Linked DNA regions of Cricetulus griseus. Each later gene encodes a partner of the first gene's protein in a complex. Links are inferred from orthologs where the notes say so. Each region holds a gene or a part of one and is shown on either strand. Other genes may lie near its edges. The genes, in order: Polr3b and Polr3gl.

Region 1 (4,500 bases):
TTTCTTTCTGTGGGATTTTTCTTCCCATTGGATTTGCATGAACTCATTTTCAAATTACAGAGGCAAATAAATCCCTTTGTCTTTCTTCTACCAACTCTCTCTGTATGTTTAACTACTCACAGAGTTTTTTGTTTTGTTTTGTTTTGTTTTTATCAGTGTGTTCTGAAATTTAAGGTTTTTTTCACAGAATGGTAAAACTTTAAAATTCTATTAGCAAATCTTACGCTTTCTCTGTTTTCATCCTTGAAATCCTTCACCATATCAATGTTTTTTAATACATTCCATTTTCTTTGGAGACAGGGTTTCATGTAGCCCAGGCTGGCCTCAAACTTGGTAGCTAGCTAATGATGCCCTTGAGCTTCTGATCGATCCTCCTACCCTCACCTTCTAAATGCTGGGATTAGAGGTATGTGCCACCCTGTGAGATGTCTATGAGCCCCAGGTTTATTCGTTGTAGTGTGGACCAAACCCATGCCTTGGTTCCACCTACCAAGCACTCTACAGACTCCCCACCTCTTACACCTTCGTCTATGTTTTGTTAACATACATTGAAATATCTAATCTATGTAGGGTTTAGATCTGTCTTTCCCCAAAACTGCTAATTAGCTATTCTAATATCAATTATTGGATTTTCTCTACAGTTAGGTCGTAAATCCCTGAAGAAGTAGGCATATTTATCAAAGTAAACCTGGCCACCAGGTTCTTCCAGCCTCCCTCAGGGACTTCCTGTTACAGGGTATGGCTGGCTTAACCCGCCCTCTCCCTCCTTCCCCCAACTCTTCAGCCCAGGGGCTGGCCACCCTTCCCTATATAATCCAAACATTTTGGTTACCTGCTCTCTTCCCCCTGCTTTAACTTTTTGCCCTCATTGCTGCTGTTCCTGCCCCTCCTCCTCACATGGCTCAGGGTCATGTCCACTCTAGACTATCCCAGATGTCCCTGTCTCTAGCTATGCTCACCCTTTTATCAACAGTAAACTTTCTCCTCCACAATACCTAGATGCAGTAATGTCCTTCCTATTTATTGATTTAATTTACTTATTTATCATTCACCTACCCATTTAAACGAGTAAATCTTTCCACGCTAAACTTGTGTGCGGGTAATTTATCTGAGACCGTCACCTCCGAGTTTAAGTAACACTACGGTGTTAGGACTTACTACAGTGCAACCTGTCATGGCCATTTGACGGCGGTTGATGGCTTTCCATTACACGCAGGCACCACTAATTATGTAACCAACCACTTTTACTAGACACGGTTAACAGTTGTTGCTCTTTTGTGCTAGGCAACACATATAGCTTTAGAATAAATTAAACGAATTCTCTGCTTCAGGAGCTCGTGTTGTGGTCACTGTCTGCTATCCAGTAATTCTTCTGATTAGTTATACATTTAGAACACTATATTTGGCCGTGCTCAATCATTCTGAGGAATTGGCAAGAACCCTGTCTGTCGGGGGTCTAGGATTAGCCAGGCGAAACCTTGGAACTACACCAGGGGGCGCAGTTTCCCACATCCGGGTCGGTCACTTCCGGGTAACACCGCAGGTTGGGCCCGGACTAAGCGGAACCTTTCTGAAGTGCCTCCAGTAAACAAGCGCAGCCGGGACACTTTAGGACAACGCACACCATTCTCCGCGTGCTGTTTGCTTGGAGCAGCGGGGCGGATGTGAACTTTCTGTTGACTTCTTCCTTTACCCCGAGGGGAATGGACGTGCTGGCGGAGGAGTTCGGGAGCCTCAGCCCGGAGCAGCTGGCTGCGCCGATCCCGACTGTAGAGGTAAGCGCCGCGAGGACAGGCAGCGGAAGAGGCTGGAGGCGACTCAGGAGGCGTTGCCGGGAGAGCACGGGTGCCGGCGGGGGCGGGCCCGAGGCTTCTGCGCATGCCCAGAGCTGCGCGCGTGTGAGTCTTCGGGTCTGGGTCTGGCGTGTCCCGGGCTAGGAACCTCCGCGAATGGCTCTCGGGTGAAGCCTTCCTAATGCCGGTCTGCACTGTCAAGAACTGGCCCTCTTATTCTTCCTTGGGGAACCGGAGTCATCTTGGCGCTGTTCATGAGGTCCCGGCTTTGGTGCCAAAGTTAATGTGAATCCCACGCCGGCCATCGTATCGTGTTCCTTTTAGCTCAGAGTTTTTTTTTTTTTTTTTTGGACTGCAGACGTATTTTAAGGATCTTGAATATTTCCGCCAGTTTTTGATCTTGTATTTTCTGAGGGGCGCTATATCGGATTCTCAAAAGTTAATAATTGCTACACAGTGAATTGCCTGATGAAGTTCAGTTACTGACATGATTAAATCCATCCTGAGAAGGTACATACAGTCCCTCTGAGCCTCGAAATCTTTGGCATAGAATGGGAGAATTAGCATTGAAGATGATCAGGGGAGAAATTCAGGCAAAGGGACAGGTTATGCCTGACCTTCAACAATACCATCAGGTGTCTCTGAGGAACTGAAATAAATCCAGTAATAGTGGGGAAGTGGGAGAGTTGATAGAAAAGATGAAGGTAAAAGGAGGTACCTTTGAAGGGTTAAATAGGGAGGTGACATGACCAGTAACTGTACTGAATGATAAACCTTCTTAGGGCACAGAGAGGTAGTGTAAGGGTTGAGTATACCACTGGCTGCTCTTCCAAAGGACCCAAGTTTTGTTCCCACTATCACACTTAAACAGGGAGTTGCATATAAACAGGGCTTGGGGGCCCATAATCCCAGCATTTGGAGTGTGGAGGTAGGTGGCTCAGACTGAGTTCCAAAATTCTGTTAGGGAAAGTACACAGTATTTATGTTTGTGTTCTGCTTATTTCACAGTGTTTCACTACTCCTAATCAACAGGAGCTGCTCACAGGCATGTCCAACCTGTAGTTCCTGTAGCTAAGAGTAGTTAAGAGCGGTGGCCCAATACAAAATTGTAAACTTAAACTTAAAACTTTATGAGGGTATTTTACTTTTTTTCTCTTTGAAATTTTTTTGTAATGGTCCTCAAGTGTGAATTTTGTAGATCACAGTATTGTTTTACAGTGTTAATGTAAGGAACCTCCTTAAAGTTCCTTACAGTCATCTTTAACTGCAGCATCAGCTGAGACTCTCTGCATCTTCCACACAGGCCTCACAATGCTTTCTGCTGTTTGTGTTCCCCAGCCCTGACTCAGCATTGAACCATACTACACTAGCTCACCTGAAACTGCTGTCATATCTTATCCACTACCTTAAGACTCTTCCATGTATCCACCCTCCTGGCCTTGTCTAACCCATAGCGAGGCATACGTATCCTCAGTGTCCTCAAGTCTGCCAACTTCTGAAAAGTTTCTATACCCTGATAAGCCTCTCCACCAACCCAGCAATCCAAATGGGACCAAATCAAACTGAATTAGAAAGAGCCCTGTGCACACCTTTATCACAGTGCCTGCTAAGTGTCATTGCCTTTGCTTACATGCTCCTTTATTATGTTAAAAACTCCTGAAGTCAGGAAGCATGCCCATCTGTTCACTTGTTTTCAGTTGCCAAGACATCACTACCAAGTAAGTACTCAAGAAGATCAACAAATATTTGTTATCAGTCAGTAATAACTGGCCCTCAAAGCTTGAATAACTTCTCCTACCATGATTTAATATGAAGGAAAAGCCGGGCGTTGGTGGCACACACCTTTAATCCCAGCACTCGGGAGGCAGAGGCAGGCGGATCTCTGTGAGTTCGAGGCCAGCCTGGTCTCCAGAGCGAGTGCCAGGATAGGCTCCAAAGCTACAGAGAAACCCTGTCTCGAGAAAAAAAAAAAAGAGAGAAAAAAATATGAAGGAAAAATACACTAGAAATGATTAACTCAAATAAAATGGAGCTCCTGTCTAGAAAGTTGTAGAGGGAGTATCAGTTAGAAAGTTGAATAGTGAATAGCTAAAAGGAAATGACATTTTCATTTAATTCATCTTATTAAATATTGCTCTAATAAGTACTGTTCAGATTAATCTTCATTAGTTCAGCAATGAAATTGTAGTTTATTTCACAAAACTGAAAAAAAATTAGTATAAATAAGTGCAATGCTAATTTATGAGTCTCTGGTGTCATTTTAGGCACTTCTGTTTAGTTTTTCAAGACACAGATTCTCAGTGTAACTTTGGAGCCTGTCCTGGAACTAGCTCTATAGACCAGGCTGGTCTTGAACTCACAGAGATCTGCCTGTCTCTGCTTCCTGAGTGCTGGGATTAAAGGCCTGCTCCACCACTGCCTATCGATTCTAGGCACTTCTTTGGCAAAGTCAGTAATATTATGGTTATTCATTTAGGAAAAAATGCCAAGACCTCAGAACCCCACTACAGAGACTAAGACTGGAAAAAACAACTGACAGTATTAGAAACACAATGGACTGTGGCAGATACTGTAGGAAAGATTTATTACCTTTCCAAGGAAGTCATATCATGGATACACAGAATTTAATCTACAAATAGGAATGCGGGGAAAAAAATAGAAGAAAGTAGAAATATACAAGAGAAAAGAAATCTCAGAATAAGTAGAA
Region 2 (4,535 bases), about 91 Mb from region 1:
CAGACCTGACTGCCACACACGGCATATGGCACACTGTGCAGAGTGGTGTAGGGAGGCGGTTGGGATCTGCAGTGGCATCCACACAGATCAGAGAGAGGCAGGAGATGCAGCTCCTCTCTTCCCGTAGTTTAAATATCAGGGAGAGTATAGCCTGGAATCAGACAGCAGTACATTCCCGATGCGCCTGTCTCAAACATCACACACACCCCAGAGACACTTGGATCTCAGTTCCCTTGGGTCCCTTAGGAATGTAAGGAAGGTGGTTCCCAGGGCATTTTTAGGGCAAGGGGCATTCTCGGATTCCCTTTCCCTCCGTATTTCAAGGGCTGTCCGCAGGAGAGAGGAAAGGGGCAGAGCAGTGACGGAACCCTGTTACACGGTGCTCGCTCTCATCACACACCCCTTTACTCCATTTTCCCGTCTCACTTGAAGGGCCCTGCCTGAATCACTCCTTGTCTCTTCCTATCTGTTGCTCTCACTGCCTCTGCCTCTCCGTGCCACCTGCCCTGTCTCTATGGTTACCAAGGCTTCCATCTGCATATTTTAGGGATGAGTTTGTGTCCAGTTGGAAGGTACCAAGGGTTTGGAAAGCTTACCAAGGATCCTAGAGAACTCAAAACGATGGAGGCCACCATATACAGATGAAAAAAAAATGTTACTGGGAAAGGAAGAGAAATATTTATAGGGAAAACACCCACTTATACTAGATATTGATATGTCGAGTGCTTTGCTTAGCGTACATCACCTCAGTAAGATGGGAACTGTTGTCTTCTTGTAACAAATGGTAATGAGGTTAAGCAAGTTCCCCCCAAGTTTCATCACTATGTTTTCATACTATTCCAAGAACTGGGCACTGGGCAATCCATCCACATACAACTTCCCAGTCTAGAGACCATTTTCTCTGACGTCTGGCATATTCTTGTTGACTGCTCATAGCTTTCTCTCCATCCTGAGGTATTTCCCTCTTTCTACTGCACGAAAGCACGACTCCCCCCGCCCCCATCTTTACCCAGGGGCTTGAAGGACACTGGGTTCCTGCCTTCTCTCCCCAACGACTTGTCTGATCCCCCAAGCCCCCTCCCTGCTGGCATTTCTCAGACACAGCTCCAATCCACGGGGTGTTGGGGGCGCATTTTGGGGCTGAGCTTGGTAGCACACAGTAACAGCAGAGGCAAGGGTATGAGTTCAAGGCTACCCTAGACTGGGTAACCATATTGTCGTCTTTTTTTTTTTTTAAGTATGTATTGGTGGCGTTGGATAGAGACTGCATAAGATTAAAGAGAGGGTCGGAAAGTCACCAAAAGACCTTGCGAGTGGGGGTGGGAGGGTGGCGCGCACGTCGTAAGGCCAGAAGGGGGCGCCAGAGCCCCTGGAGCTGGAGTCTGGCGGGTGGGAGCCTCCAGGCGGGTGCTGGGAGCGACCTCGCCGTTGGGCAGCAGTCTAGTCTCTCCCACCCACCCAGGAGGACGTTTCCCAGCAGCGGCTCTCCTCTGCGGGCTCAGCCACGTGCCTGGATGAGCTCCGAGGAGCAGGTCGTCTTGCCATCCAGAGTCCGTTCCGCCCGGGCCGAGGCGGAGGCTCTGCAGCCCCAGGTCTCAGCTCGCCCGACTCGGCCAAGCCTCAGTTCCGGTTAGCTCGCTCCCTCCCCCTCCTCCCCTCCTCCCCCTCCTCCGCTCGCCAAGATTGGCCGGGAAACCCACCAATGGGGAGCTCGGGGAGGCGGGCCCAGAGCGCGGGCTGGAGGAAGAAAAGCGAATTTCAAGTTGGCCGCTGCGTGGGCCCCGGAGTGGGGGAGGGACGGCAGGTAAGGCTTGAACTCGGTGGCTCCGACCCGGTTTGGTCCGGTACTTCCCGAATTAGTCCTCCGCGGCCGACAGCACCATAGGACAACGCCTCCGTCAGCCTGTCGGATCGGCCCCCTCCCGGGTCCCCTCCCTCCCTCCCTGGGCTCCCTCCCATTGCTGTGTTTGTTGACTGTGCATCAGAGACAGACACAGGGCTTGCTGTCGTGCCTGGGGACACACAGCCTCAGTTACAGTGCCAGCCTCTCGCGCATCTATTAAGGTCAGCCCCCGTCAAGAGCCCGACAGACTCCCGTTATCTAGCTGTCCACTCAGCTGAAACGCTCTCCCCTTCCCACCGCTTTCCTGGACCGCCTTTCCTGAATTAATAATTGAGCCCCAGCCCGACCCTGCCTGTTCAGCACTATTGGAATCTCTCTTAATTTTAAAAATCACATTATTTGTGTATTCGTGTGGGGGGGGGGCGTGGGCGTGCGCGCCACGGCTTGCGCATAGAGGTCAGAGGACAACGTGAGCGAGTCCGTTTTCCTGGCCACTTGGCAGCAAGAGTATTTACCATTTCGTGGGTCCCGCACTCTCCCTCCATCCCTCGCATCGTTTTTATTGGCAGACTCCTATGTGCTAGGATTGCAGGTTCTCTTTTGAAGTTTCTATTCTTTGGACCGAAGCTTTGGGGGAGGGGGGAACAGACTGTGGTACTGAACACATTGTGCTCAATAAACGTTAATTGAATGGAATTGATTTGTGGGAAACAGCGCCCCTGTCAAGGGGACGAATTAAAATTCCTAATATAATAAGGGAAGAAAAGAAGACAACATAGTATATAATTAAGGGCCTTTAAATTGGTGGTTTATTGCATTAATGTTTTATAATTACTCTCAGATCAGAGAAGGAAAACAGCAAAGAGAACGGGAAGGGAGGCTTTATGTCTCACAAGGTCTCAAGTGTAGAAGGTCTATAGACTCATGTGGCCATTTGTTCAAGCAACAGCTGTTTACTGAGCACCTACTACATGCCAGACACAGTGCTGGACAATGAGGATCGCAGAAAACCCCCTACTAAAATCTATCCAGTAAAGTGTTATTTAATGACTATGTGGAAAAATATTTTTGAGACAGGTTCTTGCTATGCAGTGCAAGCAGAATTGGCCTCGAACTTCTGATCCTCTGTCTCAGCCTTCTTGAAAGGCTGGGATAACAGGCTTTCATCACTACACCCCAAATTAAAAAAAAAAAATAACTGTGAAGAGTGAATCCAGCCTTACAAACACTGAGCAATAACTCTGTCCCTGAGCTACACCTCTACCCCTGTGCCAGCATCTTTAATAAAAGAATTCAATAGTTCTTTTCAGGTTATTCCACCATTTAACTTTTTTTTTTTTTTGGTTTTGTTTTTCGAGACAGGGTTTCTCTGTGGCTTTGCAGGCTGTCCTGGAACTAGCTCTTATAGACCAGGCTGGTCTCAAACTCACAGAGATCCGCCTGCCTCTGCCTCCCAAGTGCTGGGATTAAAGGCATGTGCCACCAATGCCCGGCAACTTTTTCTTTAGATTTGTTCAATTTATTATTGGTGGGGCGAGGTGGCGTGTGTGCCATGGCACGTATGTGGAGGTCAGGGGAATGAAGTATATTCTACATTTCCATTGGAAGGGGTTACAACAGGAAGGTTGCACCAACATCACACTTTTGTGTATGTGTGTGTGGAGGGGTGTTTCACCTGCATGTCTGGGCAGTATGTGTATGCAGTGCCTGCAGAATCCAAAAAAAGGCATCAGATCCCCTAAAACTGGAGTACAGACAGTTGTGAGCTGTCATGTGGGTGCTGGGAATCAGTCAGGGTCCTATGGAAGAGCTACCATGCATGCTCTTAACCGGTGAGCTATCTCTTCACACACACCCTTTTTAAGACAGGGACTCATAGAGCTCAGGCTGGCCCCAGACTCACTATAGAGCCAAAGATGAACTCAAACTTCTGAATGACAGTATTGGCCCATAGCTTTGTGCTAAGCAAGTTTTATTTTTTGTGGGATTTTATTTGACTTTTTTTTTGGTTTTTTTTTTTAATATATACTAAAGATTGAATTTTAACCTCATGGATTGCTAGGTCGGGGTGTATCACCAGCCCTCTGCATTCTTCTTGTTTGTGGTGTGTTTTGTCTGCATGTATGTCTTTGCACCACTTGTGTGCCCTCAGAGAGCAGAAAAGGATGTTGGATTCTCTGGGACCAGGGTTACAAACAGTTGTGAGTCACTGTGTGGGTGCTGGGAATCTAATCCCAGGTCCTCTAGAAGAGCAGTCAGTGCTCTCAACCACTGAACCATCTCTCTAGCCGTCCTCTGCATTGTTAAAAATAGAACATGCTTTTGACTTGTTAACTGTAGGATATACATTTATTCTACAAAACTTGCAAATATAGTAATATAGGGATAGTGTGCATTATTCCATAATCCTAATGTAGTGTTTACTGATTACTATTTTCCAAGTTTAAACTTTATTATTGTCATATGTACACACACATGCCACAGCATGCATGTTGCAGAGGCCAGCCATGTAATGTTATATCTCCATTTCACTTTTTTGTGGTCTCGGGGATGGAACTCAGGTCCTTAGACTTGCACTGTCATGCAGCAAATGCCTCTACCTGCTGAGCCATCTTTCCTGCCCATTCCTAGGATCTGGAGATATATTCTTAGTTTACTCTGTATTTATGCATAAATTTGTGTTTTTATAAGT

The links.
Region 2: Polr3b (region 1) and Polr3gl share a complex: the UniProt entries of both Homo sapiens proteins name them as parts of the RNA polymerase III (Pol III) complex. The link is inferred for Cricetulus griseus from reciprocal best matches to the Homo sapiens genes POLR3B and POLR3GL.

The regions. Positions count from the first base shown.
Region 1 is NW_023276806.1:150,815,753-150,820,252, reverse strand, and holds the start of Polr3b (DNA-directed RNA polymerase III subunit RPC2), read left to right. Parts: upstream 1-1,595; 5' UTR 1,596-1,703; coding exon 1,704-1,775; intron 1,776-1,917; exon of another isoform or gene 1,918-2,303; intron 2,304-4,500. UniProt on the Homo sapiens protein: Catalytic core component of RNA polymerase III (Pol III), a DNA-dependent RNA polymerase which synthesizes small non-coding RNAs using the four ribonucleoside triphosphates as substrates.
Region 2 is NW_023276806.1:59,906,190-59,910,724, forward strand, and holds the start of Polr3gl (DNA-directed RNA polymerase III subunit RPC7-like), read left to right. Parts: upstream 1-1,647; 5' UTR 1,648-1,702; coding exon 1,703-1,804; intron 1,805-1,923; exon of another isoform or gene 1,924-2,064; intron 2,065-4,535. UniProt on the Homo sapiens protein: DNA-dependent RNA polymerase catalyzes the transcription of DNA into RNA using the four ribonucleoside triphosphates as substrates. Specific peripheric component of RNA polymerase III which synthesizes small RNAs, such as 5S rRNA and tRNAs.